Linked DNA regions of Struthio camelus. The protein of the gene in region 3 interacts with the protein of the main gene of each other region in a biochemical or structural test. Links are inferred from orthologs where the notes say so. Each region holds a gene or a part of one and is shown on either strand. Other genes may lie near its edges.

What was found.
Region 1: the proteins of KIT (region 3) and MATK form a complex in vitro, tested with the Homo sapiens proteins (2 studies listed by BioGRID). The link is inferred for Struthio camelus from reciprocal best matches to the Homo sapiens genes KIT and MATK.
Region 2: the proteins of KIT (region 3) and KITLG form a complex in vitro, tested with the Homo sapiens proteins (3 studies listed by BioGRID and IntAct, with this or other methods). The link is inferred for Struthio camelus from reciprocal best matches to the Homo sapiens genes KIT and KITLG.
Region 4: the proteins of KIT (region 3) and PTPN6 form a complex in vitro, tested with the Homo sapiens proteins (2 studies listed by BioGRID). The link is inferred for Struthio camelus from reciprocal best matches to the Homo sapiens genes KIT and PTPN6.

What each region holds. Positions count from the first base shown.
Region 1 is NC_090967.1:486,938-494,450, forward strand, and holds the start of MATK (megakaryocyte-associated tyrosine-protein kinase), read right to left. Parts: upstream 3,175-7,513; 5' UTR 2,707-3,174; exon of another isoform or gene 2,616-2,706; 5' UTR 2,383-2,615; intron 1-2,382.
Region 2 is NC_090942.1:49,333,601-49,341,211, forward strand, and holds the start of KITLG (kit ligand), read right to left. Parts: upstream 3,146-7,611; 5' UTR 2,668-3,145; coding exon 2,653-2,667; intron 1-2,652. UniProt on the Homo sapiens protein: Ligand for the receptor-type protein-tyrosine kinase KIT. Plays an essential role in the regulation of cell survival and proliferation, hematopoiesis, stem cell maintenance, gametogenesis, mast cell development, migration and function, and in melanogenesis.
Region 3 is NC_090945.1:56,830,668-56,837,965, forward strand, and holds the start of KIT (mast/stem cell growth factor receptor Kit), read right to left. Parts: upstream 3,349-7,298; 5' UTR 3,263-3,348; coding exon 3,196-3,262; intron 547-3,195; exon of another isoform or gene 408-546; intron 1-407. UniProt on the Homo sapiens protein: Tyrosine-protein kinase that acts as a cell-surface receptor for the cytokine KITLG/SCF and plays an essential role in the regulation of cell survival and proliferation, hematopoiesis, stem cell maintenance, gametogenesis, mast cell development, migration and function, and in melanogenesis.
Region 4 is NC_090942.1:90,534,533-90,542,043, reverse strand, and holds the start of PTPN6 (tyrosine-protein phosphatase non-receptor type 6), read left to right. Parts: upstream 1-4,359; 5' UTR 4,360-4,499; intron 4,500-4,704; exon of another isoform or gene 4,705-4,707; 5' UTR 4,708-4,795; coding exon 4,796-4,809; intron 4,810-7,511. Other genes in the region: ATN1 (atrophin-1), read left to right, coding at 382-415; C1H12orf57 (protein C10), read left to right, coding at 2,568-2,622, 2,704-2,898, 3,038-3,186. UniProt on the Homo sapiens protein: Tyrosine phosphatase enzyme that plays important roles in controlling immune signaling pathways and fundamental physiological processes such as hematopoiesis.

The DNA.
Region 1 (7,513 bases), on a different chromosome or scaffold from region 3:
CCTCCTATAACCACAACAGAACGGGAGCATATCGGGCCCAGCAGCTCCCCAGGTCACAGCATCATCCAAAAAAATCACTAGGCTTTTAAAAATAAAGAAGGGGGTTCCTTAAGTTTTCTTCTGAGTTCAGAGCCCTTTCTCTGGCTGTTTCGCTGGTTTAAATTTCTCTCCATCACTTCAAAGCAGATGCTTTCTTTCCTTTTCTAAAGGAAGATGAGGATTTCTCATGCATTCACATGACTCACATGCTTCAGGCTTTATAAAATATGCCATCTGATGAGACCCACGTTCCACGTAGGCGAAGCTGAGTCGTGCCCACCTTGCTCCTTCCTACCCAAGCACTGGAAAGTGTGAATCTGTCTCAGGAGCTCAGTGCTTCTCTGTTTTCAAGACCTCAAAACGGCCAGAGAAGTGTCAGCTTCCAAAGAACGGGAACGTGTGAGGAGGGGGGAAGTGATTTTATTTGTGCACTGATCTTGGTGCTCAGCTAACACAAGAGCCTGGCCATGTGTGGCAGGGACCCAGCACTATCTGCACCTCTCTCTGGAAAATCCAGTTGGAAAATCTACTGTTGCTTGGAAACTTCCAACAAGGACGATGTTTCCCCTGCTCTCTTGGCCTTTCTCCCTTCAGTTCGGTTTCCCTTCCCCTCCAGGGCACTGTCAGCGTGGTGTACCCATCCCTGACGGCGAGGTCAGGCCTCCCTGCACCGGCTGACGAGGGCTCTCACTTCCAGGAGCCAGGCTTCCCTTCTCCCGCAGTGACGCCTCTGGCATCTGACTGAGCAGGGGTGGGAGGCAGCACCCCAGACGGCTGGGAGAGGTGCGGGGCTCAGTCAGCTCCTTGGAGCAGAGATGACAGTCTTTGCTCTATTCCTCTTTTGGAGGGTGAGTCACGGTCACTCCTCTGCATCACAAGTGGTAAAACCCAGCCTGTCTAGGTGACTGCGACGATGTGAAGACTTACCATGCCAGCTTCCATCTACCCTCAGCCAGAATCCAGAACAAAGTGAAGATCCACAAAAAGGGACAGCTGCAGCTGTTTCAAGGCTAATATTAGTGGCTAGCAGTTTTTTTCTATTCCAGAAGCCATCTTCACCTAGTACAGACATCCTTTTGTCCTGTAGCCCATCTGTGCCACATATATTATCTTGGTGGACTAAAGCTTCTGGGCAGAGACGCAAAGCCAGCAGCCCTCTGAATATTCCCCCACAGACACAGCCAAAGTCCTACCTGCTGGGATGCAGGTGAGCTGTGTAACACATCCAGTGTGGGTGAGGATCATCTGGGTACAGGGCTCACAGGATAGGAATCACTCCATCCCCCATGCTGCAGGGCAACCCAGGTCTCCACAGGAACACACAGGACCGATGGACTGGCTGCCCCCACGGTACTGAGAAAGGATATGCCACCTCAGCTAGGAGGGACAATAGCTGCCCTGGTGGTTTTCCTTCATCTTCTGCTCCTCCAGGACAGTCATTTCTGGTGCAAAGCAACAGCTCTTTGCTCAGTCCTGCCTCCATGTGTGCGGACTGCGGGTGGCCCAGGTGCTCTGGGCTAGGCACCCAAGGGCATGTCTTCCTCTCTTCCCAGCTGACACATCTGGTGAGCCTGGTTTGGTAAAGCCACTGCAAGGGCTAAGAGAGGTACACTGCCAGATATACACCGCCAGATACCTGTCCCTGGGCAAACTTGGAGACCCTTTGGCACATCAGCCCAGACACCAGCTAGCATATAGGTGAATCATATTCTTTCTGGTGCCACTCACATACCTTGTTGTAAAGCAACTGTTATTCTTGGAGATGTTTGGTCCATGTGGTTCCCATCACTAGAACGTATGTTCCCTCAAGTAGGATGTATGGGCAGAAAGCCTAGGAGGAGACATTTGCCCACCCACATCCCCCTTTCCGGAAGCTATTCCACAATTTTTTAAACCAGCTAACCTGTATATTTGCAGTGAAGTGCAGAAATACTATGCATTTCAGTTCTGAACCTCCCCGACCCTGACTGAAGAGTTTAGGCTTGTTTCCAGTGCACAGAGTGACTCCAGCTGAAGAGCTACCATGACCCAACCGCAGTGGTGGAAGAGGGCACACACACATTAGCAGACTGCAACTTCTGCACTGAAACTTGAGACGGATATATTGCACACGCACCTTTGAAATACAAGCTGGAGAAGTTCTCCTGTTTTACAGATACGCCATCGCACTAAAGGGTCACTTAGACAAATGCCGAGTATAGTTCATTTGTTGAAGAACAGGTGACACCTGGCTGTTTACTCCACTGACCACTACACTAACACTACATTCATCTCTCTCCACCAGCAGAGCAGACATGACAACATCACCTGCTCTCAACAACTCTAATAGACCTTTGCACTTACCTCCCAGAAATGTCCATGCAAGGCCTTGGGGGCAACGATGTCTCAGGGCTGCTCACGGCTAAGCCGGGACTCAAATCCCTGAATTCCTGGAGAATAAATCCCTTTTCATACGGAGCAGCAAAGCTTTATTTTCAAGGACACGCTCCCAGAAAGAGCCACTGCGTTATTTCCTGATTTCTCTTCTGGTTAGCGCTGTAGACGCAGAGCGTCCTGGAGGTCCTAGTGCCTGCCGCCTATATAGTCAAACATTAATCAGAGATGACTCATTATTTGACAACGCTTACCCCAAAATGACTTTTACCCTTCAATAGCACAAGTACACACCCTCACTAGAAGAGGCATTGGAGATTGCCAGATCTCACATCCTACTGCATTGTGTAGCACTCACAGAAAATTAATGATCAACTACGCAAATAGAGTGAGATTCGCTGATACAGCCTTGATTACCATGATCAGAGCATCTTCCTGAGCAGCAGGTGACCGTGAGTAGCAGCTGCTCTCTAGGGGGAATGAGAGACTCAGAAAAGGACACAGCAGGACCACGGTTCCTGATGTCTAACCCTGTTTCAACATCAACTTGCCTGAGACTTAAGGGAGGTTGATCCAGGAGCATGTATGCGCCTTGTCCACTCTATATGGGATGAAAACCACTCACAGACACATCACAGGCTGAAATGGGCAATTGTAAAGCCCAGAGAGATCCTTAAATGCACAATGCTGTCAAATGGCAGGGGCTTATCTATATCCTCCAGCATCTACAATTAGAGCAGAGGGAACAGTTGCCTCTGCAACTCACCACACTAGCCAAAAACCTGGAGACCAGTTTTACCCTAACCTTCAACATTTCCAATTTTCTGAATAAAATGGGTTTAAAAAAAAAAAAAAGCAATCTCAGGCAAACACAGTTAATTTGATCTTTTTAATTTTTTCTCTAATAAAATGGTGTTTAATCCTTTAAAAATACTGGCAATTCAAAAGAAAAAGTAGTTTTGAAATAAATACGTATTTGTTTAAAGAATGAACCCAGAGCATTTCAATTCCTCCCATCTCCCAGTAGGATTCCTCAAAATTGTCTTCTTCCCTTCTTTAATACACAGCTCTACTCAAAGTTTTATACAGCTCTCCTTTGCCTACTCAGTTCTCTTCAGTCCCCAAGTTGACAATACAGTTGGATTCATCAGAAATGCAACAACTTCTCCGCCTGAGAAATCTGTCCCACATTTCAAGCATTCAAAAGGAAATCAGAAAATGGTGACACTTGTCACAAAAGCAGGCAAATCTTCCTACCTTGCCTCCATGGCAACTTAGGGGTTTCATTTTACCTCTCCTTTTAGCGTCTAAAGCCAAGGATCCATGTTGCCTTTGGCTTTCTCTACAGCCAAAGGAAAAACAGGCACCTCCAGAATGCGACGCAGCTGACCTGGTTTCAGATGCCAACCTTGAGTAAGTCAAGCTATCCTAGCAGCACCGCTTTCTTTCTGTTGTTCATAAAGGCAGCACAGGAAGGCTTTCTCAGCCTTTGACATCCAACTTCAGACATTTAAAAAGAACATCACTAAGTTTAAATGTCCCTTTTTAGAGCTAACATTTTTATATTTAGAGCCAGACTTCTCACCAGTGATACCACCAATTCAACAGCGATGTTGGGAGGACCATTTAAGTGGACATTTCCCCCTAGGCAAGGACTGAACCTTTAAACACTGCTTTATCTTATCCTGCTTACAACAGGTGACTACAGAAAATAGATACATCACTAGGTCCAAGTGCTGTTATGCATCTCTATGCTACTTGCATGGCAATCCCGCAGGCAAGTGGGCTGCAGGAGCCAGACTGACTGTTCCAAGAAGAATTCCCCTCCTTCCCCCAGTCAGGAGCAGTGTAGACAGCAGAGATATTTTCACTAAACCCTTAGAGAGCAGATGGCATTTGCACAAATCTACACCCCAGTGAGAAAGTAGATTTTGTGGGAAAGCCCTTGTCCCTGTGCTCAAGGGACAAGTGGAAGATGTGCTGTTACAGCTGACAACCTCAGTTCATTACACTAGGTCTCGGCAGCGGTTTTATCTAGCAGCACCAGGCCCTCACTGCAGTGTCCGTGTTTGTGTCATGACTGAGGGGGGGATGCGCAGCACTCAAAGGGATGTTTCATATCTGGGTTCTTCGTTGTTACAGGCATCCACATCAGCTATCCTGTCACGTCAGTTAAACTTATTTTTAGCACTGGTGACTTTTCCTTCAATTCTGGGGGTACTTGTAGCACTGTTTAATGTTTTTACTTCCTAATTTCTAATGAGAGAAGCTCTTTGGAGTGGATGCACTGTTGTATCCTCTTTTCTGCTCTGACCAAGGTAAAAGGCTAGAAACCGTACATGGTATTTCAACACTCCCCAATCTTGCTGAATTACCAGCAACAGATGAAGTTAATCATAAGGCAAAAGGTAGATCAGAATCAAGGCTTCCGCCCACGTGACGTTATTGAACCTCTACTGCATAAACGTACAGAAGGATGTCAGCAGCTCCAGCAGAGCCAGTTAACTGAGTAACATTCAGTTCAGAACAAATGGCACAGTACTAGTTAAATACATTGTACCTGTTTAAACAATTACAGAAACACTTAACTGCATCCCTCCTCAAATATGTGTTTTTGTTCCATTTATAATTCTTAAGCCAGAATGTTTAAAGGGAAACTGCTTTACCCTCCCCTCCCCAAACAATTTGCACTTTCAAGGAAGAAGCATTTGATGACAAACTAACAATACAGAAACAAATTTTTCAATAAGTCCTAAAAAGCAGTGGTTCAAAAAACTCCAAACAGCCTGAAAGAATATGAATAGAGATTTAAAAAGTGAAGCTTAAATGTAGAACATAAGTATGAAGTGTGTGACAATCTGTTAGCTAACCAGCAACATCACATAGGACAGAAGTGTGCAATTTCATTTCTTTTTCTCCATAGCATTACAACAAGATAGCATTACAAAACATTAAAGCCACATTACAGGCTCTCCTTCACACATTTGGTTGGTCAATTGCAAACAAATAACAACAACCAAAAAAACCCCAATCAGTTATATGTCTGTACAATTCAGCATCCACATCACTGCTCCTAGGTGGGAGCCCACAAAGTGCAAGATCCCTCTCCAAAAGCGGAAAAGGCCCTATGCCAATTTCAACTGCTTCAGATCAGGCTAGAAAGTGCCTGATCAGGGCTGGAAATCTAAAATAATACAGAAAATATCTAAAAAACAAACCGCAAGCTTGTGCTTTGCTTTGTACACCACATAGGCAAACATCAGAGTTTAATAGTATCTGCCTCTGTCTACCTATTTTGCTGCAGGAAGTGTTTCTTCTAGAGTAAGAGAGTGGGAGGGGAAGGAGACATAACAGAAAGGAAGGAACTGTTGCTATAGGCAACTTCACTCTTAAGGAATGGTGCAATTTCTGTAGTGATTATAGTACAATTTAAAATTATCTACAGTACATTATATAAAGGAAAAAGTTAATAAAATTGTCAGACTAAAACAAACTTGCATAAAAATTGGAATAACGTGAACGTTATCTTACAAATGCAATAGCATTGTTAGGCAGCATCTTCCTCTTTTTTGTCCTTCCCATCTCCCTTGTCCTCTGCCATTTCAGCTGTCTCTTCTTTTTTTATTGCACGCATTAAATGTACTTTTAGGAGGTGGCAAGGGGTCCATTCCAAGTACGCTGCATATTTTTCTGAAAGCCAGCATTTCTAAAACATGTTAGGAGAAGGAGGAGATAAAATGGCAAGAACCTTAATAGAATGAAGACAGCAGTTAGAAGGAAATGCACAGATGTCCTCAGTTCTTCTTGCACATACTATGGAAGCTGGAAAGTAAAGTTATTTAGAAGATCACCTTCATCATATACACCAATACACAGTAACTAGGATTATACTGCAGAAAGGGATTCAACCTCACCTAGAGCTAAGGTAACCAGCTACTTTGAAAACCAGAATCAAGGATTTTGTATCCAAGCTGAAGTTTACTGAAGTCCTTCTAGGGAAGATGTGACGAGCTTTGGACCTTGTGTATGACAGCCAGAAACCTCTGTGGGGTATAAGGTTTTGTAGGGGGGAGAGTTTTTATTTCTTCAAAGCAAGAAAACGAGTGCAATTAATAAGCTGCAGTCTTCTAGAAAATATGATGACCTAGCCTGAAAAAATTCCCCTCTTGCTATAATTAAAAAAAGTGAGTTTAACTTTCCCCATCCCCTGCATCTATGCACGTACATCTTGCAGAAGTATTCTGCTGCTGAATTATTGGACTATCACAACATTTCCTACTTCATTCCTAACAAGCAACAGGGTTAATAAATAGGACAGAGAGATGCAAGTTCAGAGTGACTGTACTTGTAAAATTGTTCCACATGATGCTAATGTAAATTTCTAAAACAAACTTCTTCATTTGGCCACAAAAGTTTCAGGCAAAGCTAACTACACAGCGGTCGCTTGTAACTCAGTCTAATTCTCCATTCTCTTTCCTCATATTTAAGATGAGTAGCTACAGAATTTTAATGTTTGCTTATTCAACATTGGTCAAGAAAGTCAGTGCTATCATTGCAAAGAAATAATACGGTCAGGCACATTTTAAGCATTAATGAAAAAGAAAAATGCAGACCACATCTCCCTCACAGTAGTTTAAAAGTGTTAGTTGCTGTGGGGATCTCCAGTATACCACTCACAGCAACATTTACTGAAGTGTCCCTTCTTAATAGATATTAACTGCTATTTTTTTTCTACTTGTATACTGACTGTGACATCTTCTCATTCCTTATGGGTCACAGTCTCCAAAACATCCAACTTAGCTTTCCAGTGGGGATCTTCCAGCCCAGGTCTATCTGACAATGACAGAAATAAGGAATAAAACACATTACAAAATAAATATACTTCAGTCAGCTTTTTAAACAGTGAAATTCAGGGGAAACAATTTAAAAATTCAATTTAAAAACTATTTTAGTACTTCTGGAATTTTGCTTTACTTCAAGTAAGAAAGTGTGAGAAACTGATCAAGCTTTAGATTCTCAGGAATGAGCATAAAGTTATGGAATTTGGGACTTCCCTTAAATTTTTTTCCTAAAATACCGTTTGCAAGTGTTCAAAAAAGCA
Region 2 (7,611 bases), on a different chromosome or scaffold from region 3:
AAACGTAAGTGCAGACATCAGCGATATTTGATTTGTTGTAATATTAGCATGCAAAAGAATGTACAGTCACTTCCAGTAATAGTTTTAATTACTAAGTATATAAGCCTGCAAATCCTCTCATGCAAGTAATCCTTCAACAAGATTAATTCATGGAAATAGTCCCATTGAAGAAGGATGTGTAAGACCGGACCCTAAATGTTTAATCATAATTTTAAAGTCATTACTGCTTAAATAACAAGATGCTGGCGTATTTAAAATAGGGGTTTATATATTTATCAAACTGTACAGCTTCATAAATAATCCTTTTAGGACTGACACAGTTGGGGAACATGTTTCTGCAGTTCCTCCAGTTTCTCAGGTTAAGACTGATGTAAATAAACTGACCAACCTTCTCACTCTAGTCTACTATTCAGCATGACTCCTTCTTCTCCTTCAGCACTTTAGCTGCAATGAAGTATGACTTAGTTACTCCTTCAGCTGCACTAGTTATATATTATCCTTGTGTAACATTACCTTAACATCAAAACCCCTGATTGTTTAAGTACTATCAAGGCATTATTAAGTACTTTCAAGGCTTATCGAGGTAGTGGTTCTCACTTCTTATACTACGTCTCATGCAGGATTCTTATTAAGAAATGTTAGTTTCTTTCCTAGCATTCCTATCCTATTCTTTTCTCTGTGCCAGCTATCAGTCTAGACAATGTGAAAAGCTGCTACAGGGGAACACAAATATTAAAATTCACCTTAATGCACCCAGTGCCACAATGCACTTATGTTCCCTTTCTTGTATCCCTATCACTTACTCTCTCTTCGCACAAAGGTATTCATGGTTTTAGTGGAAAGCCTTCCTTGACATATCTTCTGCTCTGATCTCCTTGGAATGATTAATGGTTTAGTATCACATTTGTTTGCTAATCCTTAAAATGAAGGAAACATGCTTTGGAAAGCTAGGAGTCTGTCACTGTCTCCCAAAAGCAGGAAGCATAACTGCTTGAAGGCTGACAGATGCTTCACCGCTATGACAAGAAGCTGTTCCACAGGCTACAGTTTGTGATCCCCTGAGTCAAGCCATATGGTACTGAATGCCAGGACTGCCTCTTTCCCAGTTTACTGGGAGAGAGGGATTATTCCTGCTTTGCTCCGAATTTGGCAAAGTTCTCTGTGGGCTTTAAAAGTTTACAGTTCACACGAAATGAAATGCTTGATCACTTGCACTTGTAAACCCTCATTTGCCTGCTGAACTGTTTTTTCTTCTCAGGAAACAGCCTGACATGCGTGCTGCTATGGGCTAAGATAACACAGTACTTTTACCGAGTCCAATTTTAAGTAAACGTATAAACTTTAAGTAAGTATACAAATATGGCTCTCAGTGTTTAAGTGACTCTTCCCAATTAATAATCTATTCAGCATGCGTGATCAAGTCTGCATATAAGGTCCAAAACAACAGTTTTGAGGTGCAAGGCATCTTTATCATGTCTTAGGAATAACAGCAATGAATTTATGCTGTTAGAATTCAGAACTGCTCATTTAAGATTAAACCTCACTGTATTTCAGCATCGCAAAAATTAAAGTCAAGCAAATTATAACTCCTTAAGCATGGGTACGCTCTCCAGTGCTCTAGCCACTTGCATTTTAAAAACCTGAGAAAGTAAGTATTTCTAATTCCTCTCTTCTCTCCAAAGGCTATTTAATTGTCCAATAGATTTCAGTAAGGTATTTCCCTTTTTAAAAATGTATTTTATGTCTTTTCTGTATGCTGCAGTTACGAGTCGGGGAAGACCTAGCAATCACCAACAGATGAGGGAAGGCCAAAAACTATTTTGCTTCTGAACGGGAAGGGGAGGCGAAGGCAAAAGCCTCCTGAGCAGGACCAGCAGCGCGAGCGAGCGCCCGGTGTGCTGCTCTTGCCCCTGCAGCTCAGCGCTAAGGTCAACCAGGACAGAGGGCACCGGCACCCTGCAAAGCCAAGCCTTAAAAACTTTTCCTCTTTAGAGTTCCCGTACGCGTTTTCTTATTATGGGATGGCTTTTCCAGTCCTTTCTGCACTTGTGTCCGTCCCCAACCTTCCTTTAAAAAAAAAAAAAAAAATGCGCAGGAGAGCAACTGCCATCTCCGGGGACCGCGGTGAGGGCAGAGAGCCCACAGCGGCGCGGCCGAGGGCGAGAGCAGCGCGCACCGCACCGCACCGCACCGCTCCGCGCCGCGCCGCGCCGCCGCCGCCGCCGCCCGTTACTCCACGCTCCGCACCCGATCCGATCCGACCCAGGCACCCCATTTACGACGGCAATTTTTCCCAAGTTGCCCTCGGAGCTCCGCTAAAGCCAAGCCGTCGACGATCCGCCCCGCTTGCCGGAACTTTTCCCCGGGCGGTGCGTGCCAAAGACGAGACTTGACGGATTTTTCTTTTTTCTTTTTTTTTATTCCAAGTCGTTGAGCTCCGTCTGAGCAGCGGCTGCAGCGCCCACCCGCAGAGGCGCTGCCCTCGCAGCCCCCGAGGCCCCGCTGCCGCCCTGCCTGCCCAGGGCGGGCAGCCGGCCGCGCACCTCGCCGCCGCCCCGGCACACGGGGCCGCTTCGGCGCTCCGCACCCCGCCGCGGGACCCCCCTCCGCCGCCCGCGCAGGTGGCCGCCCCCCGGCGGTGCCCCTACTCACTTGTGCCTTCTTCATAAGGAACGGCAGCGCTGCAGTCCAGCCCAGCCAGCCGGGTGCAAACTGCCTTCAGCGGAACTGTAGCTCCAGCATAATGCAGCAGCCGATAGTCCACGCATTGGGGTTGCCCACGGCGCGCCCCGCTGCCTGCCGCCGCCCCTCTGCCCACGGCGTGAGCGCAGGCACTGACTGGAGCCGCCGCCGGCGCCCGGCCAGGTCTTTTATATGCCCGATCTGCCTCCGGCGGCGGCGGCGGCGGCAACGGCTGCAGCAGCGACAGCCCCGGCAAGACACGCCTTTCCCCTCCCTCCCGCCCTCCCTCCGTCTCCTCCTCGAGCGCTTGGAAGTCGGGAGCCGGGGCAGGTCCCGCAGGGAGGGGGGAACCCGAGTAACTTCAGGGAAAGCTAAGCACGGGAGGGAGCCAAGCCCGCCCGCTCCCACGGGAAGCGCGCCCGGCGGGGCCGCGGCCGGGCCGGCGCGGCGCACACTGCGCGGCGCGGCACGTCAGCGGCCGCGCCGTGGTGCCGGGCCGGCGCGGTGCCCGCCCGTCGCGGCCGCCCCGCGGCGCCCCCTGACGGCCGGGCGGCGGCGCCTTCCCGCCCTGCGCGCGCGGGGCCCCCGACTCCAACCGTCGTCGCCTCACAGGCCGCCGGCCGGGCCGGGCCGGGGGCAGCGGGCAGCCCGGGTGTTCGCCGCTGCCGTTGGCGCTCCCGGGGCGGCGCCGCACTGCTGGGCTTTCGTGTGGTGGGTGGTGGTACCTTGAGGAGGCGCCTCGCCTGTCCTGTTGCTTGAAGTCAGTTTGGGTGCCAGACTCGAACAAATGGCCGGTATTTTATGAGTGGCACCTAGCTGTAGCAGTGGCCTGAAGCGCGCGGTGGGAAACGTCTGATTTGTAATTTCCGTGTCAGGAAACTGAAATTTAGCCTTTCCGTAACAAGCTAATGGAACTAGGCACTGTAGTAAGTGTCTTAATGAAAGCCTAAAAACTCTTTTTTACCTGCTCCAGCTGCAGAAAAGTTGTGGAGCAGTGCCTCCTAATGCTTACGTAAAGGTGCTCCTGCAGGTGTTTTACTGTGCCATTAAAATCCATGTACTGTTGAAATAATCCAGTAGCATTGGGCTTGGAAAACGGCGCTATTGCTTCTGAGGGTGCGGTGTCCTGCTGGCCCTTCTGCCCCCGCCGTCGGGACAGAGTTCAGGTCATTGTCTGGGAGGACAGCTGTCAGGTTGACGCAGGCAGAGTCTCGAGTGTTCATTAAATGCGAAGAAGTGTGGTTTTTGGAACTAGCATTTCCCAAGACAGCGATCTTTAGTGATGATTGAAGATCGCATTAGCACTGGATGAAGAAAGAATAGTCTGCTGAAATCAATGGTCATTTCCTACAAGAGACAATAAGATATTTCATCACAAAAGTTGCCAAGTTTTAAGCAAGACTTGCTATTTGCAAAGACTTGCTAAGTTTTCGCGAGATTAGGGTTCTGGCCCGAGTGAAGATGAGCTGTTCAAGCACTGAAATGGATTTTAAGAATTGTTGAACCCATCCCAACTCCACTGTATATCTGGATTTAGGACAGATCATCTAATTGCTTTGTCCTTCTGTATCCAGTCTAGAAAAATGGGATAATAATTTGCTTTTAGAGCATGAGACAGCTGATGAATTTGTTACAGTTTTTGCATTTCTCAATTATTACCATGCTGAATTGCCTTGGAGTTCTTGTGTTACCTTCTGAGCTTCACCAGACTATATATATAATAATAGTCTCTGCCTTAAAAAGGTTGTAATTTAAGCAGATACGGTAGACAGGCAGTGAAAGGGAGGAAGTCTATAACAAAAAAAAAATCAATGACTACACTCTACACTCACTGAAAGGATATTTTGTATATCACCTAGTGATGATCAACCCATACTGTTTCCCCACTATACGCATTTAGCAAATAGCGTCAGGAAATTAAAATGTTATGGCACACTTCCTCCTCAGAACAGATGACCAGTTTAGTCTCCTAAGGAGAAGCAGCGGAAGGTGTGAAAAAGCAGTCTGTTAGAGTAGTTACCTACCTTATGAAAAATACTACTGGTCTGACTGCATTTTGAGCACAGTCCACCATATTAGATCATCAGTGGGAGGAAAGAAAGGGAAAGGGGAGAAGTGAGTCTTTTAAAGCAATTTTTGAGCATGTCCAGTAGATTCAACAAGTTTTAGATTAAAGCCGTCTTTGTGAGAGACAGAGCCATGGGAAACACTCATCAGATTGCCCTGTGCAATCAGCTTCTTTTCTCTAATAAATTTATCTTCTTTCTTTACTGTGGAAGGACTCAGAGAATATGACTGTTTCAAGATAAGTTCTGTAGGCTTCATTAGTCATGTCAGGAAAGTGTAAGTGGATGCCTTGTGTCAAGTCACTTTACCAATAACCATGTCATGCAGAGAGAATACAACTCTTAAGCCTCACTAGGTCTCCTTACCGTTCTAGTGTCATGTACCTTTTTTGTCTGTCCTTGATTTGAGTTCTTGAACCTGTCCTTGTGTTTAACCAAGTCCAGCTATAGTGGAATAGTGCCCTTTCCATGTCTTCCTTTTGTCTGGCAATTTGCAAGCGTATTACTGTTGTCATCGACCTCAATGCAGTTTGGGAAGTCTTTTCTCTGAAATTCAGAGTTTAAGACTTTAAACACATTAATTACTTGTTCGTAACCCATTAGAAAACATGTTTTTATTAGCTTTGGCTTTTTCCAACGTAGTGCTGACTCTTGACTTACCCAGTAAGAGAACTGGTTAGTCATGGACCGTTAGCGTGTTGAGTGGTAGGTTTCCAAAGCATAACTGCGAACCACATTCAGTCTTTTATGGTCTACCTTGTTTGCATTTTGAAGTGCTTGAGGGTAAACACAGGCTCCTCACATAACTCTGTGAAGACCTATTTCTTCACAGGGAAGCCACAAAAATACTGCTGCTCGTCCTCACAGGATTTGATTCCACCCACTGAGCAGAACCGTCCTTCACCAGGAGTACTATTCTGCGTATATGGAAATAGCAACAACTGAAGCATGAATGAAGTATTTCCAGTTTGTCATGAATGTAGGAGTCTCACCATCTTCTACTGTTGAGAAATGGCTGCAAAAATGCTATTTATTCTAGAGTTTAATGGATTATCTGCTGTGCTGTATAAAGCTCCAGCTGCAGGAAAGATAAGCTTGCGTAGTGTGTCAATGGCTTGGTTTCTGGCTGGAACAGCCAGAATGTAGGAATATGTAGAATCAGATCTGGCTTCAGCAGCAGCCATTGCAGAGAGCTAAAAGACCCTCTACAAGTGTTTGGAAAAGATGAAAAAGCTCTCCAATGAAAACGTCTACACTGTGAGGGCAAAAAACAGTTTCTACGTATTGGAAATGTACCTGCGCTATTCCCATTCGCAACTCTGTTACACTGATAAACAAGCTGAGCACACAAAGGCCTTGGTTGACAGGAGGCCTCCATCTATACTGAATTAATTCAGTTAACTCCTCCCCCCAGCACTTCTTAAAGACACAGAGTAATAGATACAAGCTTTACTAACCTATTTCAGACTAGATAGAAATAAAAGATAAGAATTAAAATTGAAGTATATAGAGCCAAGTGCCCTCAAACATCCTTAGGTTTTGTCTACAGAAGTTTTTGATTGCAGAGGAATCACTTTTCTAAAGAAAAAAACCTTTAAGAACATGAAAGATTTACAGAAATTACATGGTTTGAGGAAATACGTTGAGATAACTAACTCTTTAAGAAATCTTCTCTGTCTTTGGTTCCACAAGTTGCACTACGTGTTATTCTGTGATTGAGAAGTCATATATTTTAATGTCAGAGCACAACCACAACTGAATATTAGTACTTTAATATTGGATCAAAGTACTCATTTTGAATTTCTAATTGAACTTTCTTATACCTAAGAATTACCAAAGTGACTGTTGGTTTCTTTTAAGCACCGTAAAGCCTTTATGCTTTATACAAATGACAGGGAAGAGTTTTGTGGTTATTCAGTATTACCAATTAGCAAGTAAGTAAATGACTCAGTCGAGACTTAGATCCATGGGGACATCTACACTCTGAAGAGCCACTTTTATTTCAACAGGCATCATAAGAACATAGGATTCAATGGTATTTTTTTTCATTCACGTAATCTAGTTCTAAAAATTAATTTGAGAAAAGCAGTTTCCTTGTAACTGGTTGATTTTCTGTAATATATTAGCATTATTTTAGAGATAATGACATTATTATATGGTAAACTCACTAACTAGCCAGTTTGGTTGGCAGCCTGATTGGGGGTAAATGCAATATTCTGGATCTAAAGAGACGTCTCCAAATTAAAAAAAAAAAATTGTTAATACAATTATTTCCTGAAATGGCAGCATGAAAAGTTCAGTACCTCATTATGATACTTTTCTAAAAAAATCCAATAAAAAATCTAGATGCAGGAAAAATAAGAAGCAAGTCATGCAGCATAAGAATAGAGCCAGGTAGCTTTAGAGTATCTGAAATCTGTTAAAAATGCCAGTGAAGGAGGCTAGAGTTGTGCGGCTGTGTGTGAGATTATTTTACCCAGCAGAAGCTATGAAGATAAGCAGGTAGACTAGGCTAGTATGTAGTCATTGCTTTCATTGGAAAGAAAGTGGATTTTGTACATCTGACTACCATCCTATCCTAAAATCCGGATGGAGGCAAGGAATGACAGATTTTTACTGTAAGCCTAAAACTGCTTCTGTCCATTGGTGTCTTTGCTGGTTTACTTTGCCGTAAAATGACATAACTATTTCCATTAGGACTTTATGGCAGGATAATTAGTGTACAATAGATAGGCTGTGCTGCTAAGAAAGTTTTTTGGCATTAAAGACAACGCCAAAATAGGAAGTTGCACTGAGACTGTTAAAACTCTGTCAAAGCCAGTAAAAATATGGTTGCAGCTGCTAAAAAATAGATGGCTCTTTC
Region 3 (7,298 bases):
CGGATGTGACTCCTACGATCTGCCCTAGCCTTTGCTACTGGCCGGTATTGACATGTGGATAAGACATATCCGTGTTGATTCCACCTGCGTACTGGCGTACGGCCCTTTGCGAGGTGAGTCAAGATCCTCTACTCAATCTGTGCACCTGCAAAGAAGCGTTATTGTTTCAACAACCAACAACAGCTTTCTGAGAATGCTGAAGTGAAATGAAAAGCCCATGGTGAGCCAGCGTAACCAAAGAGTAATGCAGCTGGGCTAATCTGTCAGTGAGAGGCACTCTGCTGGAAAAAGAGCACATGGAAATGCTTCCAGTCTCTATGAACAGTACTTAAGCTGGATGCAAATGTGCATCTCACTCTTTGCCAAATTTATCACATCATTATAAAGCTTGAAGAAAAATCACTTACACACTCGCTCCGAAAAGCTTCCCAGTTGTAACGGAAGGAAAAGAGTCAACTATTGAACAATCCTTCACATTTCCATTCTGCTCCTGGCAGTGGCCTTGGGCCACATTTATGCACAGGACAATCCGCAGGGCTGCAGGGGAGGGAGGAAAAGACGCAGGAGACAACAGGGACAGGCAGAACAAGGAGGCCCAACACAACAAACGGGGGAGGAGGGAGGGCGGGATATCTGAGGGGCCAAGACAGCGACTCAGTGACAGCAGTCAGAATCGTTATCCAGTTCTATCTTCCGCCTTCAGTCTTCCTCCCTCCAGGCTGGCAGGTACCGGGAAGCAAAATGAACACAGACATGCTTCCCCCCGGGGAAGAGGGAGAGCCTCCCATTACCCTGCAGCTCGCTGGGAAACGGTCAGGAGGGGCAGTGAAAGGAGCCACCAGGTCCAGCCTTCCTCGGCTGCAGGGCGAAAACCCTGAAAGAGTACTAGGGGCGGGGGGGGGGGGTGAGCCTCGCGGGAGGATAGGGAAAAAGCACAGAGAAAAAGCTTATTCCAGAATATTCCATCAAAGGAGGACTAGGCAACCCTCAAATGGATGGAAAAGTGCAAGCATGTGTTCAGAGACAAGGGGAAGGGGGAAGGGGGTGGGGACAGAGAAGAAGAATGGGTTCCTCTCCAACAAGTTACATTCAGCTCTGCTTTCTACATTCTCCCTCCTTCCTTGGTTGCAACCAAAGGAAAAAGCTCTTGACTTAAAGGCCAAAAAAAGATACTTAATATAAGCTTGTATATGAATAAACAACAAACACGGCAGGTCTGAACGGGGCCTGCAGGAGATCATCCAGTCCACGGGTCTGCACTGCGGCAATCCCAAAAGCAACATGGGGTCAAGCCAGCTCCAGAAAAACCCAGCACAGCAAAGCAGGCTCTGTCAGGCCTGTCGCTTTCAGTGTGCCCAGCGCCCCTGCCAGGACATGAGCCACCTTCTGACACCCCTTCCAGCACAAAGCTAGCCCTGAATTGCCCTACACCTATGTGATACACAGACGACATACGGAGGGACCTACAGACCCTTGCCTTTTGCAACGGCAAGTCATGGGTGCCTATGACTACACTATGAATTTCTGTCAACACAAGTTTGCCTAATGTGCCACTGAAGGGAAATACCTCCCACAAGTGTCTGAACCTAGAATCAGATGAAGGATCGAAGGGTTCCCACCTCCCCTTACCTCCTCGCCCCACAGTAGTCTAGAGCATGCACCTGGTGGCCTCCACGAGATGCGGACAGTCTGACGTGTTTCCCAAGCTTTTCTTAAGGACAGTCCAATTGGCAGATGAAGGATAAGCTTCAAGCGCAGGGCAAAACAAGTATGAAGTGGAGACGTTTGTTGGGATATTAATCACTTCTATATACTTTTTAAGAAATTCCAGGGAATAACACATTGTTAGGAGAGTTCTGTATCTCTGTGACTACTGCACTAGCATTTGGATAGTCTGTGGATATTCTGGTTATGTGCGGATATATCCCTACATGTGGATATTCTGAACAGCAAAGTCCAAATTGTCGGGTACGGCGCTCTACTGGAACTAATCAATAAACAAAAGGGAACAAAACACAAATGTTACCAAAAAAAAAAATTTAAAAGTGTTAATAAATCAAATACTGCCCTTTCTCACATGCCAAAATAAAGTGCTTACAATAAAGAATCATAAATTGTCACTACTGTTCGGTTTTTTTTAAAGTTTTATTTGCTTCCAGCACGGGAAAACTATGGCCCAGAAGACTTCCACAGCCCTCCCCTGTCTCCTCACACACAGAGCACTCTCCAAGTCTCCTCTCTGTTGGTGGCAGCACTCACAACACCTAGCAAGTGCACTGCTTCCCTTAATGCTTAGCTTTCTCCTGCAGAAGAGTAGGAAGATAACCTTTCAAGTTGTCCACTTTCAAATTTTGGTGCACTGGTCCAAACTGTGTGCAATTCCACAAACACTAACAGCCATCTCCCTGTGGCACCCGCAGACACCCCCCCCCCCCAAAAAAAAAAAACTACCCCGTTTCTTAACCCACCAAACAGCGCAACTCGAGACACGGCGGCTCCAAAAGCCTTGCTCGAAGTTATCCAACACCGCAGCCGGATGCCGCGTGGGAAACCGCCAGCCCCGCGCGCGAGCACCAGCCCCACGCAGGTGGGGCCACTGGCACCTCCCTGGCACGAAGCAAGCGGCGGGCGGCCGCGCACCGACCAGCGCGCACCCCACGGCCCCGCTCGGGTCCGGCCGAGGGCACCGAGCCGGCGGCGCCCCGCTGCCCTCGGGGGCGCTGGGCCCCCGCTGCCGGCGCCTCCCCTGCCTATTGTTTAGCGCGCACCTCACCGCGGGCACGTTTTGTACCGATTCCGAGAGTTTGTTGGCAAAACAGCCCAGCCCGGGCAGCGGCGGGGCGGGGGCGCCCTCCCGGCCCCTCTCCCTGCCCCAGATAACCGCCGCTTGCAAACAAAGGAGTTTTTTTTTTTCCCGGCGGAGCGTCCCGCGCAGGCGGAGCGGGGCCGCGCCGGGTGCCCGGCCCCGGGGTGCGCTCGCTGCCGCGCTTGGCAGGGGCCGCCCGCGGCCGCTCCGCGCAGCCCCCGCGCCGGCGGCGAGGCTGGCCCCGCGCGGAGGGCACCGCACCGCACGGCTCCGCGCCGCTCCGCCCGGCCGGGACGCCCGCGCTGGCCGCCAAAGTTTCTCCGCGCCACCGCCACGCGTGTCCCGGCCCCGCCGCCCCGCGGCGCTCCGCGCCCGCCCGCGGCTCCCACCTGCGGGCAAGAGGCTCAGCAGCAGCACGGCGTGCGCCAGCTCCCAGGCGAGGTACGCGCTCTCCATGCCGGCCCCCCCCCCGCCCCGAGCCCGGCCCGGCGCCTGCTCCCGCTCCCGCTCCCGCTCCCGCTCGCACCGCCCGGCGCGCAGAGATGCCCGAGCCCCCGCGGCAGGGCTGCCGAGTACAGCCGGCCCCGCCTCCGCCGCCCGCCCCGCGCCCCGCCGCGCCGCGCCGCGCCGCGCCGCGCTGCGCGGCCCCCCGCGCCCCGCCCCGCCCCGCCGGGGCTGGCGCAGGTGAGAAACTCTCCCGCCTCCTTCCGCGGGAGGTGGGGGGGGGGGGTGCCTTCGCCTCGGTCTGAAAAAACAAACCATCCCACGCACCTCTCCTTCCTTCCCTCCCCCCCCGCCCCCTCCCCCCCCAAACAAGGGAAAACTGGAAAAAAACCCAGTGAGCAAATACGCGCTCAGTGCCGCCGCTAGAAATCGCCTGCGGGCCGCGGCGGTGCCCGGGGTGGGCGCTGCGCGGGGAGCGCAGCTGGGGCCAACGCCGGGGTTGGCAGGGCCGGCGGGGCTCGGCGCGGAGGCAACAGCCCCGCAAGGACAGGTACAGCCCAAGCCGCGGGCTCGTTTCTGGCTGCGGGAGGTGTCGCAGCAGCCTCGGCGAGCCGCGGAGGTAGCGCTGCGGCCCGCGCAGCCCAGCTTTCCCACCGCGGCCGCTTTGGGCAGTCGCGCTTTAGCAGCAAGGGAAGGGCTCGAGTATGCCCTGTGACACACAAGGAAAGAGTGAAAGAACGGGCTAGTTTGGTACGGAAAAGAGAAGGCTGACAGGGATCTTAAAACATGGAAAAGGTTCCCACAAAGAGGGTTGCGAGCAATTGTTTTTCATGTCCCCCAAGGGCAAGATAAAAAGTAATCCATTTAGTTCTCAGGAAAAAAAAAACTTAAATGTTAGGAAAGCACTTGCAAAGAGCAAGGAGAATTTATTCTGCAAATGCATCGTGGAGGGCAGGTTGTGGTATCCCGTATGGGGAGATTTGTAAGCCCCGATGAGGCAAACGGTTCAGCAGGAGGATCTGGGAGCACTGGCTTCTGTATCGGCAGAGCGAGAGGGAAGCTGCCCGTCGGGCAGAAATAATACAAACTGCAGAAATAATTCTGAGTGCAGAAATGTCTGTCTTCAACTCTCCTTTGTGTCACACACAGCTGAAGGGAAAGAAAGTTGGATGTAACATGTGATACTGGATGTTGGAGGCAGAGCAGTCGTACATGCATTCCCCTGCTGTGCTCTGACCAGAGAGCCAAGGACAACACAGTCTTTTAACAGGCAGATGGGGAAAGGACGCATAAACTGTCAGAAAACCCCAAACAACGCTTTTTCAATGTTCATAAGGATGTAGAGGACTCATGGCCAAACTCTTACCAGTGGAAAAGCAACCAGAATAAATGTAGACTTTTTGAAGCACATCAGTACAGATCAGAAAAGTTATTGAAGGCAAATTATTCATTTTTTTTCTTCATCTTCTTTCTTTGCTTTTTCAGTACTGTCAGTTTTTTTCCGAGGTTAATAGCACTGTCCCATATGGTCCAGTGTTAGATGAAAGTCTTGTCTTATATGTTTAAAATGGCTCTCCATTTCTTTACTCTCTTTCATCTCCCACAGCTAGTCTCTTTTGATGGGTGAATCCTTCCTTTGCCTGCAAAGCAGAATGCATTTTTGTTAGCACACTGACAATTTCAAAATCAAACATCATTTTCAAATCATATTTCTCACTAGGTGTGAGCCTCACCAAATTAATTCTGGGTAGAGAAAAAAAACCAGCTAAAATACTTAAAATTTTAGTGCCACCTAGATTTTCCAGGTGTCTCTGTGCTTCTTTTTTTCAGGAGAAAAAAAGGGGCTTGGCAATTTTTTTACAAGGGCTTAGAGCATTTACAGTTTGCGTTCTTAAAGATGCAAAGGAGTGCACAATATGCTGCAGGAGGTTTCCACTGCAACATTATCAAGGAACATGTGATGTTGCTGTTATGACAGGTTTCTCCCTGTTCTTTTTGATTAGTGTTATTTCAGTTAGTGGCCTGGCTTTATGCTCTGCACATCCCTGATCACATGCAGCCCAACTGCATTGCCCTGCATCTTGCGCCTTTTTTTGCCCAACCTTAGCTGAATGTTAAACATCTCAAAATCAGAATGGCAACAATGTGCTTTGGCAACATGCACTTTGCATGGCTATAAATAGCTGCAGTAAGTGGGAGGCACAGGTGAATTAGGTGTAGCCTTGCCACTTCATTTATTTTTAATAATCATAATGACAAATGTAGTTCTGCTTTGTCCAACATCTTGCATTGAAAACTGCATGTAAGGCAGAGTTGTCTCGTCCATATTCTGTTTGCAGTATAAAGGGAAACAAGCGTTTCCCCTTAATCAGTGAAGAGGACTCCCTTGGGTCTTTTTACTCTCTTCCAGAAGATATGACCATATGACCTTAAGCCAAAACAGGTCTATTTTGCATTTGCAGCCAGACAAGGTAGCCCCTCACATGTTCCTGTGTTCAGTTACTGTGGTACCATGGCAATATGTTAGGATAGATAATGCCATTTCTTCTGATTGTCTGCTTGTACCAACTTGCAGCAGTTTGACATCTGGGGGGGGGGGGGGGTGAAGCTCCGCAGACTCCAGAAACAATGGTTTTGAAGATAAAAATGATAAGCTTGGAGAAATATATGAAACCTTCTATTTGGAAAACTCACTTCAGTTTGAAATCCTTCAGGTGATTTAACCATAAATATGGACTGGCGCCTTTAAACAGCCAATTCAAAAGACTATATTTACTGTCATCAGCGGTCTTGTCCACATCCATGGAACTGCCTACTGGAGTAAACATTGTATAAATCGATAATATTGGTAAGATTATGCTCATGTCATTGAACAACTGCTGAACTAATGAAGGACTTGCATAATTTCTGTATCTGAATGCAAATGCGTCTGGAAATTATCTCAGCTAGTTTGAGAGCATCAAACGCTGTATTCGTTAGGTCTGTGAACACCTTTCTATACTAAATCTTTTCAGTATAAATAATCTGTGGAATCTATTTTATCTCTGGCAAGGTATATCTAATGAGAAGAGAGGAAAATACTCTTCTGATACAGCCAGTCAATGCCTGCTAGAATTCCTCCTGATAAACTGTGTGACGATGAATTCTTCTATAAGACTGCACTCTCTTTTTCTAAATTGTAGACTAAGAGATATTACTCTAGGACATTCCTATTCCATAGAAAAGGGAAGCCCCTGCAATCCGGATGACTCTGGAATTAACTCACCTCTAATACTTGAAGGCTTTGAGAAACTATGAGTCTTTGAAACATATATTGATTTACAAGTGTTGTAGTTGCTATCTCATCATTGCCATAAAAGTTTGTTACAGTTTGTAAAAGTGAAAAGTAGTTAAATTTCTGCTTGATGCATTCATCGAAAACAGCAGTTCTGAAGCGCAGCCATCAGGAATGTCATATGACTACCATGCAAGAACACATACTCATCACTGTGCTGTATCTTAATTTTAATCGACAAAACCGTGACTATGAGTTTTCTAAGCCTCTTGTTTACTAACACAAAAAAAGGGAAATCTGCTGGTCTAGACTTGGTATGCCAAGGTGTACCAACTGGAACCATCTGGGACTGTTTCCTGCAAGGCTTTAGGTTTCAGGACATCCCTTTGCCTTTATTTTTATTAACTTTGCAGTCTCCTGCATCCTCCTGCTAGAGTAGAAGGGGGATTGGGTGGAGACAATTGAGGGTATTTGATAGACTTGTATCTTAAGGTTTCATCTGTAAATGGGAGGATTTTAAAGTCTTCCATGCAGCTTAACTGAAGAGTTTTCCATTACTTTTAACAGGAATGACTCTAAAATTAATGCAGATAAAGTGGACACCTTTATGTTGTTCCCCTCTAGAATATGAACTTTCAGATGGACCATTCAGTCTTACTAAAGTGGAAAGTATCTCTTATTTCCTTCTAATCCAATTTTGTAAAATACTCACTGAATCCCATTGTGCCTGTGATCTTACATCACTATTGCTAGCCTAGTTAATTAAAGAGTTTT
Region 4 (7,511 bases), on a different chromosome or scaffold from region 3:
GTGGCTCTTCAGTGGCCTGTAGGCTAATCTCTTGTATGGGGTCTCAGTTCCTTTCGTTGGGGAGTAAACTTACCTGTTTCGCACATGCTAATACAGTTCTTGCTAACTGATACCCTTGCAAAAACAACAGATGTTCACAAGAGTTGGATGGATGGTCTGTCCTAAAAAGGGTTCTTGCAAGTGCACAGGGAAGCGTACTGGGACAGGGAGAGGTGCAATATTGTACCTTTTGGATAGCATCTCCTACCTCAAGGATTTGGAAAACTTTCCAAGCCAGCACTGTCATGTGGGACTAGACTAACCAAATGCAGTGCACAGTACTAAGGTAGTTCTCCTTCTCTCTTTTTTCTCTCACAATCACCTTGTTCTTCTTTCTCCTAGTCACCTGAAGAAAGAAAGTGACAAACCCCTTTAAATGGACTCCTACTCTCAACGCGACATCATCATGTCTTTCTCTTAAGAGGAGCAGTTGATCAACCAAATCCTGGGGGAGGGGAACCTACACATCCTGATCCTACAGTGCAGTACAGTGCAAGAGCAGAATGGATCAAGAGTACAGGATGGCATCGTGGGAGCAGAAAGGAGAGGAGAGAAAATGGGGAGGGACTGAAACACCACTAATGGACATGGAATGATTGGTACATGATTCCAGCAAGGCTCTGAAGGAAACAAAATTAGCAATGCAGAGAGCTCAAAAAGACAAAGACTGATGGAAATTCAAGATTGGAGCTGCTCCATCCTTTCTTTTGGGGGAACAGTTGCATTAAATAAAAACAGTGCAGAGCATCACAGGAGTTCATGTACATGATGCTGTTGCCCTTTCTGCTTCTGTGAGGAGATGTGGCCAAGAAGTAACTCAAAAACCTGATGGAGCTTCTTTTAAAGATGCCTCCTCACCCCCCCCCCCCCCAACTTTAGATGTAAGATACAGCTAAGTAACACAAAAAAGCAACATGGAACTTTTTCAAATTAGCCAGGGTGGCTTCCCATTCTCCAAAATCCTGTCAGATACAAAGCAAGCATTATGGGACCCCTTCAGAAATGGCCACTCCTACCTAACCGCTCAGTCACTGAGGGTCTGGGTCTAGCTGTGAGGTGCAAAGCACCACGAGACTTTGCGAGACCTGAGACTGTTTGCGAGACCCAGTGGCTGTGCTTTCCTACGCCTCGAGGGAATGGTTAGGGCCATGAGGTGCAAAGCACCGGGAGACTGTTTTAAAGACTGCAATTAAAGACTGCAATCGCCTCTATCCCTTTGAGCCCCATTGGGAGAGCTGACATGGCCAAGAGCCCCTGCATCGCCCCATTGGGAGAGCTGACATGGCCAAGAGCCCCTGCATCCTGGTACTCTCTTCGCGAAGGTGGCTGCCCCTTTCCCCTCACCCATTCTAATTGATGTACTTTTAACTCATGCACATCCTATTAGACGTGGCAGTTTTATGTAGCAATTTGTGACTCCCTTATCCCGCGTGCGTGTCTGATTTCACAGTTGTATATCTCGATTGGTCCCCATATATATATTTACTTAAACATTAAAAAAAGGAAAAAAAAAAGAAAAAACAACCAACAACCCAACTATGGAAAAACACCCGAACAAAGTTTCCCACGCACTCCCAAGCCTCAACACACATTCTAATAATTTATATATATAAATATATATATGAAGCTCTTAAAAAAGAAAAACAAAACAAAAAAAAAAACCCTTCCAGAAACAGTCTGTTGTGTTCGTTTCTTTTCTACTGGGGCTAGGAAGCGATCTGGAAGTGCAGTGAAACAGCACACCTGCAGGGGAGTTCAGAAATGAAGTTCTCCCTGGGCAGAGGAGTAAAGATGGGGGATACCGAAACAGGCCGAGGAGTGGCTGCGATGCAAGTCGCTGCAGGGCCCGGAGGGTGGCGAGAGCCGGGGGCACGGCCGGGACGAGAGAGGCCAAGTGTCGCTACAGGAAATGCCAAAGCAGGGCCCGTGCGGGCGCCGCACGAGGGAAGCCCTCCTCGGCGGCGGAGCTGGGGGATCGGCCCGGCCCGGCCCGGCCCGGCCCGGCTCGGCCAACCAGCGCAGAGCGGCCCCGGCCCGGCCGCAGCGCAACACCCCCGGCCCGGCGGTGGTCACGGAGGCCCCGCCCCACCGCCGAGGGGCGGGGCGAGCGCGCCTCGGCACCAATAGGAAACAGCTTATTTACATACTACCCCAAATACGTCCCAAACCTCTCTTTTTGGCTATTATAGTCATCGGCAGCGTGGGTCAGGGAGACAGACCTGTTCGGAAGGGCGCAGAGGCGCTAAAGACGGAGGCTGAGCGAAAGATGTGGCTCGCCCTCACCCCAAAGACAGTGCAGCTCGCGTGGGCCCCCGCGCGGGGGCAGGCGCTGTAGTGATTTCAGCTCTTTTAGTATTTGTCCAGTAGGTTTTCCGCGGCGCGGGAAGCCTCGCTGTCTCGTGTAAGGGCAGAGCGGCTGCCGCGCGTGCGCGGGGAGCGCCCGCCTGGTGGCTGCGGGGGTGGGTTGGCTCCGTAGCGTGGCCGTGCGGGGGGGCGCGCAGCCGTGAGTGCGCGGCCCGCGGCGCCCCATGGCGGCGTCGGCGCAGGCCCCGGCCGCGGCGCTGAGCGCCGAGCAGGCCAAAGGTGAGTGGCGGGGGGCGGCGTGGCCGGGAGCGGGGCCCGCCGGGCGGGCGGGAGGCGGCGGCGGCGGCGGCGGGCTGGCAGCGGTGCGTGTGCCCGCAGTGGTGCTGGCGGAGGTGATCAAGGCCTTCGGCTCGCCGGAGAACGCGCAGCGCATGGACGAGGCGCGGGACAACGCCTGCAACGATATGGGCAAGATGCTGCAGTTCCTGCTGCCCGTGGCCACCCAGATCCAGCAGGACGTGATCAAAGCCTACGGCTTCAGCAACGACGGGGAAGGTGGGTGCCCGCCGGCGGGGCGGGGCGGGGCGGCGCGGCTCTCGTGTCCGCGCCGCGGCTCCCCCGACCGCCGCGGCGGGGCGCCGCTGCCGCAGCCCGCGGCTCAGCCGCTCTCCCCGCCTGCCCGTTTCCTTTGCAGGCGTGCTGAAGTTTGCCCGGCTGATCAAATCCTACGAATCTCAGGACCCGGAGATAGCCAGCATGTCGGGGAAGCTCAAAGCCATGTTCCTGCCGCCCATGACGCTGCCCCCGCACGGGGCTGGCCCCGGGGGAGTGGCGACCTCGTGAGAGCGGAGGCCCTGTGCCGTCCCGGCCCTCGGCGCTGGCAGGGCACGGCTGGACAGCGGAGACGCTGCTCTGGGAGGAACCAGGCTGCTTTGTGCGCCTTTGTATGTCTGCTGGTGAATAAAAGCTATCTGGAAAACAAACCTCGTGATTTCTGAACGGACCTGGGCCTAGCACTGCTCTGCCGGGGCGGGTCCTTTTCTCTGCTGCAGAGGCGGTTAGAGCAGTGTCCACCTCATGACTGGTAAAGCCTGTGCTAATGATTTGAGAGGGGGAGGGCTCGTATGTATCAAACTCGGAAAAAAGATGCTTGCTCATGCAAGCCTTGGCCTGAAACCACACCACCTAGTATTAAAGCAATACTTTTTTTTTTTTAAACAAGATTTCAGAGGTGCTAAGCCTTATCTAAGAACAAGCGTTTACAAATGAGATATTTGACATGTTTTAGGTAGTGGGTTCATAAACATAAGCTAGTCCCTAAGGTGTTCTTCAGCAAGTGGCCTAAATGCAGCTCAGACCCCTGTCACCAGGCCAGTCAGCCATGCTAGTTTGTTCCTCCCTGTACACTGCTAACACCAGCTTATATAGCTGCACAGTTGTCTTCTAGCTGAATGTGTGATCAGACATATTAGACCTAATGTAAAAGGCTGCAGAAAGGTGAAGCAGGGACGAGCATGGCGAAGGAGAGCTAGCCTTGCCCCTTTTGGCTGCAGCCAGGGTTAGAGCAACATAAACATAATCTAGAACTGCATCATGTGCCTGCCAAGACCAGAGAGAGAAACCAACCCAGGGGAGCAGTTCCTCTCAAGTTTGAATCTTTGTATTTGTGACTTGATTCAAGTGAAGGGGCATCAGGTACATTTGACTGTTGGTGGCCTTGCAGCTTGTATGGGTCTCTTGCCCTTAGATGTGTTGACACATTTGGGAAGGGTCAGGGTGGGTTGGGGTGGAAGGGCTGGGAGAAGAGGGAGCTGAGGGTCAGGTGCTGGAGAGCTGTGTGTAGTTTTGTTTTCTGCGTCTTTCAGCTACAAAGGGCTGAGGAATGTAGCCAGCAAGGGCGTGAACTTAGTGGATAGGAGGCAGGAAGAACAGTCAGTCCCTTCCGTCTCCATCCACCTCTCCCAGCTTGGGCTTGGCCTCCCCCCCCCCCCCCTTCTAATTATTTATTAACTACAGCCCAGGAAGTGTTTTGTGAATGGTGAAAATCAAACCCTTTGCTTGAGGCCTGCTGTTTGCCTGACCTGGAGCTACCTTCTCCTCTGTCCACACCAGAAACAGGCCGAGTTCAGAACTCTTCCCGTGCGGATCAGATACAGGTGAGTCATAGGGCTTGCAGCAGACCCAAAGCACTATCGGCTGCTCCTTCCGGAGCTGTGGAACGAACCATGGTGAGCATCCAGCCATGTCTCTAGGGTGGTCTAGGTCTTGACTTGCTCTGTCAAGTTGTTTGATCTCTCTCCCAAGTCCATTTCAGATACTACTGTGTTGATACTTCCAATACTTTTTTTTTTTTTTTTTTAGTAGGACCCCCTGGTTAAGGGCTGTGGTACTCCCTCCACCTGCTGCTTGCTGTTAGTCCCCTATCTGTGGGGATCTGCCGGTCAAGATCCCAATGCCATCCTGTGGGTGAGTGTTGTGTATGCTAGCTAGGGGTAGAAAACAGTGTTGTTGGTGAGAAAAAAATAATGGAAGTAAGAATCAGGTGTAGAGGGGAAAAAGAACACCTTATACTAGGAACTACTGGAGAGCTGGAGGACTAGGTTCACAGTGAGTTAGACTGCTGTCGCTGCTGCTCCTCCTCACTTGTATAAAGAGAGAGAAGAGTTTGTGATGACCAGTCCAATACAACTACTTTTCTGCCTTCTGCAGGCCCTGCAGCTGCAGCATTTCAAAACATTTTTGTACAGAGAGAGATCAGGTGGCAGACCTTTTTAAAGCCTGATTATTTATTGATTTGTTACTGTCTTTAGAGTCTAATTGACAAGACACATGCTCTTCACCGTCAATCCAAATGGGTGCTCTGTTGTTGGGACGTCAGCAACATGGTATAAAGAAATGGGATTAGCACCAGGGTTAATCTATGGTTAGGTTCTGCTTGGGCAGCCACTGTGGTCCAGCACTGTCCTGTGGTCCTGTAGCCTGCCAGAGAGCATCTGGCTTGGGCAAGTCCCAGGAAGATGGTCCATCTGCCCATTCCCCCAGAGCAGATGGCCTTTATCTGGCAGCTCTAACAGTGCAAGAATGCTGCAGCTGAACTACTATGTAGCTCTGTGTAAAACTGCAACTTCCTGCCTATGCTTTACCTTGGTGCTGAGAGTTACCGGGTGGCAAATGCAGTGCTGATTTTTAAAAAGGGTTCAAATGAGAACCACAGACCAATAAAATTGATATCTAGAATGAGCAAGAGATTAGACACTATAATAGAAAAAGGAATGAATATGACATTAAAGAAAGAGTCCCTATCTACTTTGGTAAAGGCAAATCTCGTCTTGAAAAAACACTGGAGTTCTCTGAGGGACTTAGCAAGCTTGTGGATAAGGGAGATCTGGCTGATACAGTTTGCTTGGATTTGACAAGTTTCCCCTCATCAAAGACTTTTAAAGAGAACTAAAGACTTTTTAAAGAGAACTAAAGCCATGGCATAAGAGAGAGGAAGATTTTTTTCTTGAGTAAAGAATTAGTAGAAAATAAGAAATGGAAGATGGGCATAAATATCCAGTTTTCACAGCAAAGGGTAGTCACCAGTGGTCAGATCACTAGGGTCTGAGCTGGGATATGTGCTGTTCAGTATATTCCTAAATGACCTGGAAAAAGAGGGTAAACAGTGAGATGAGAAAATTGGCTGATGGCAGAAAGATATTTAGGATAATAGAGTGGGAGTCAACTGTGAAAAACTGCAGAACGAACTTATGATAGAGAATGGGTGGGTAATAGAACAGCAGATGAAATTCAAAATGGGTATATGTAAAGCAATGTTCATGGAGGAAAATAATTCAAACTTCACCTATAAAAAAAGAACTCTGAAATGATCATAACCTCTCTGGAGTAAGACTGTGATCTCATAATACATAAGTGCATGCAAATGTTAGCTCAATGCTCAGGTGCAGTGAACAAATAAGCAGAAATCATAGTTATGTCTTTGTATATGTCCATGTCTCACCAACATCTTGAATGCTATGTGCAGTTCTGGGGTCCCACTTCATCCTCATCTCCAAAATGATATAGCAGAGTTGGAAAAGGCTCAGAGAAGGACAGTAAAGATGATTAGAGATGTAGAATAGCTCTGTACACAGAACATCTAAATAGGGTTGGAGTCTTCAGCCTGGAAAAGAGCTAAGGAAGGAATCAGAAGTTACAGGTCTCTAAATTCATGAGTGGCTTGGAGGGAGTGAGTAGGAACCAGAGGAATCAGTCATTGATTTTTTCTTTCATTACAACAGTCGGTTGTTAATAAAAATGGGCAGGGAACAGGTCATAAGCAAACCAAAGGAGGTGGTGGTTCTGTAGTTCAGCAGTGGAACTGCTTGTCAAAGGATGCTAAATATCTTGTGGATTCAAAGATTGACTCTACAAGTTAGTGAGGGCATTGTCCAAGTGAGCCCTGAACATCTCCAAGACTGGAGATTGCCCAGCCTCTCTGGGCACCTGTGCCGTTGCTGAACCACTCTTGGGCAGGAGTGTGTGTGTGGAATTGTTCCTATATCTATTCAGAATTTCTCTTGATGCAAGTTATGCCTGTTGCCTCTTGTCCTTTTGCTGTGTCCCTCTGAGAAGGATCTGGCTCCATCATTGCTAACCTCTCCTTCCCTGCCCCTTTAGGTAGTGTCAGACTATTAAATCCCTCCTCAATCCCTCCTCAGCCTTCTCCAGGCTGAACAAAACCAGCTCCCTCTGCCTATCTTCATGTGTCTCATCACTGGACTTTCTGCAGTTTGTCAATGTCCTTTTTCTTTTTTTTCTCCCCAGTAGTCCATATGTGAGCATCTTTTAATTGGCTCCTTCATTTATCCTCCTTTCTAAATTGATTCCTGTGCCCGTTGTGGCCTAGCTCCACAAAGGATTTAGAAGATAAGGTTCTACAGTTTGTGTTGTACTGAAGGCCAGACTACACCATAAGAATAATCTCTTTGATGCTGAAATCTCTTGACCTGTTAATTACATGAAGAAAGTATTTCAGTGGCTCAATTAGTTTGTTGTTGTATGCGCCAACTTTTACAGAGAACAGCTTCAAAGATACCAAGCAATTGCTTCTCTAAATTTAACCCACTGTGATATTTGCCCAGCTTATCAGTTGGAACTCTTCACCGGTAGTTTTTTATTATCTGTCT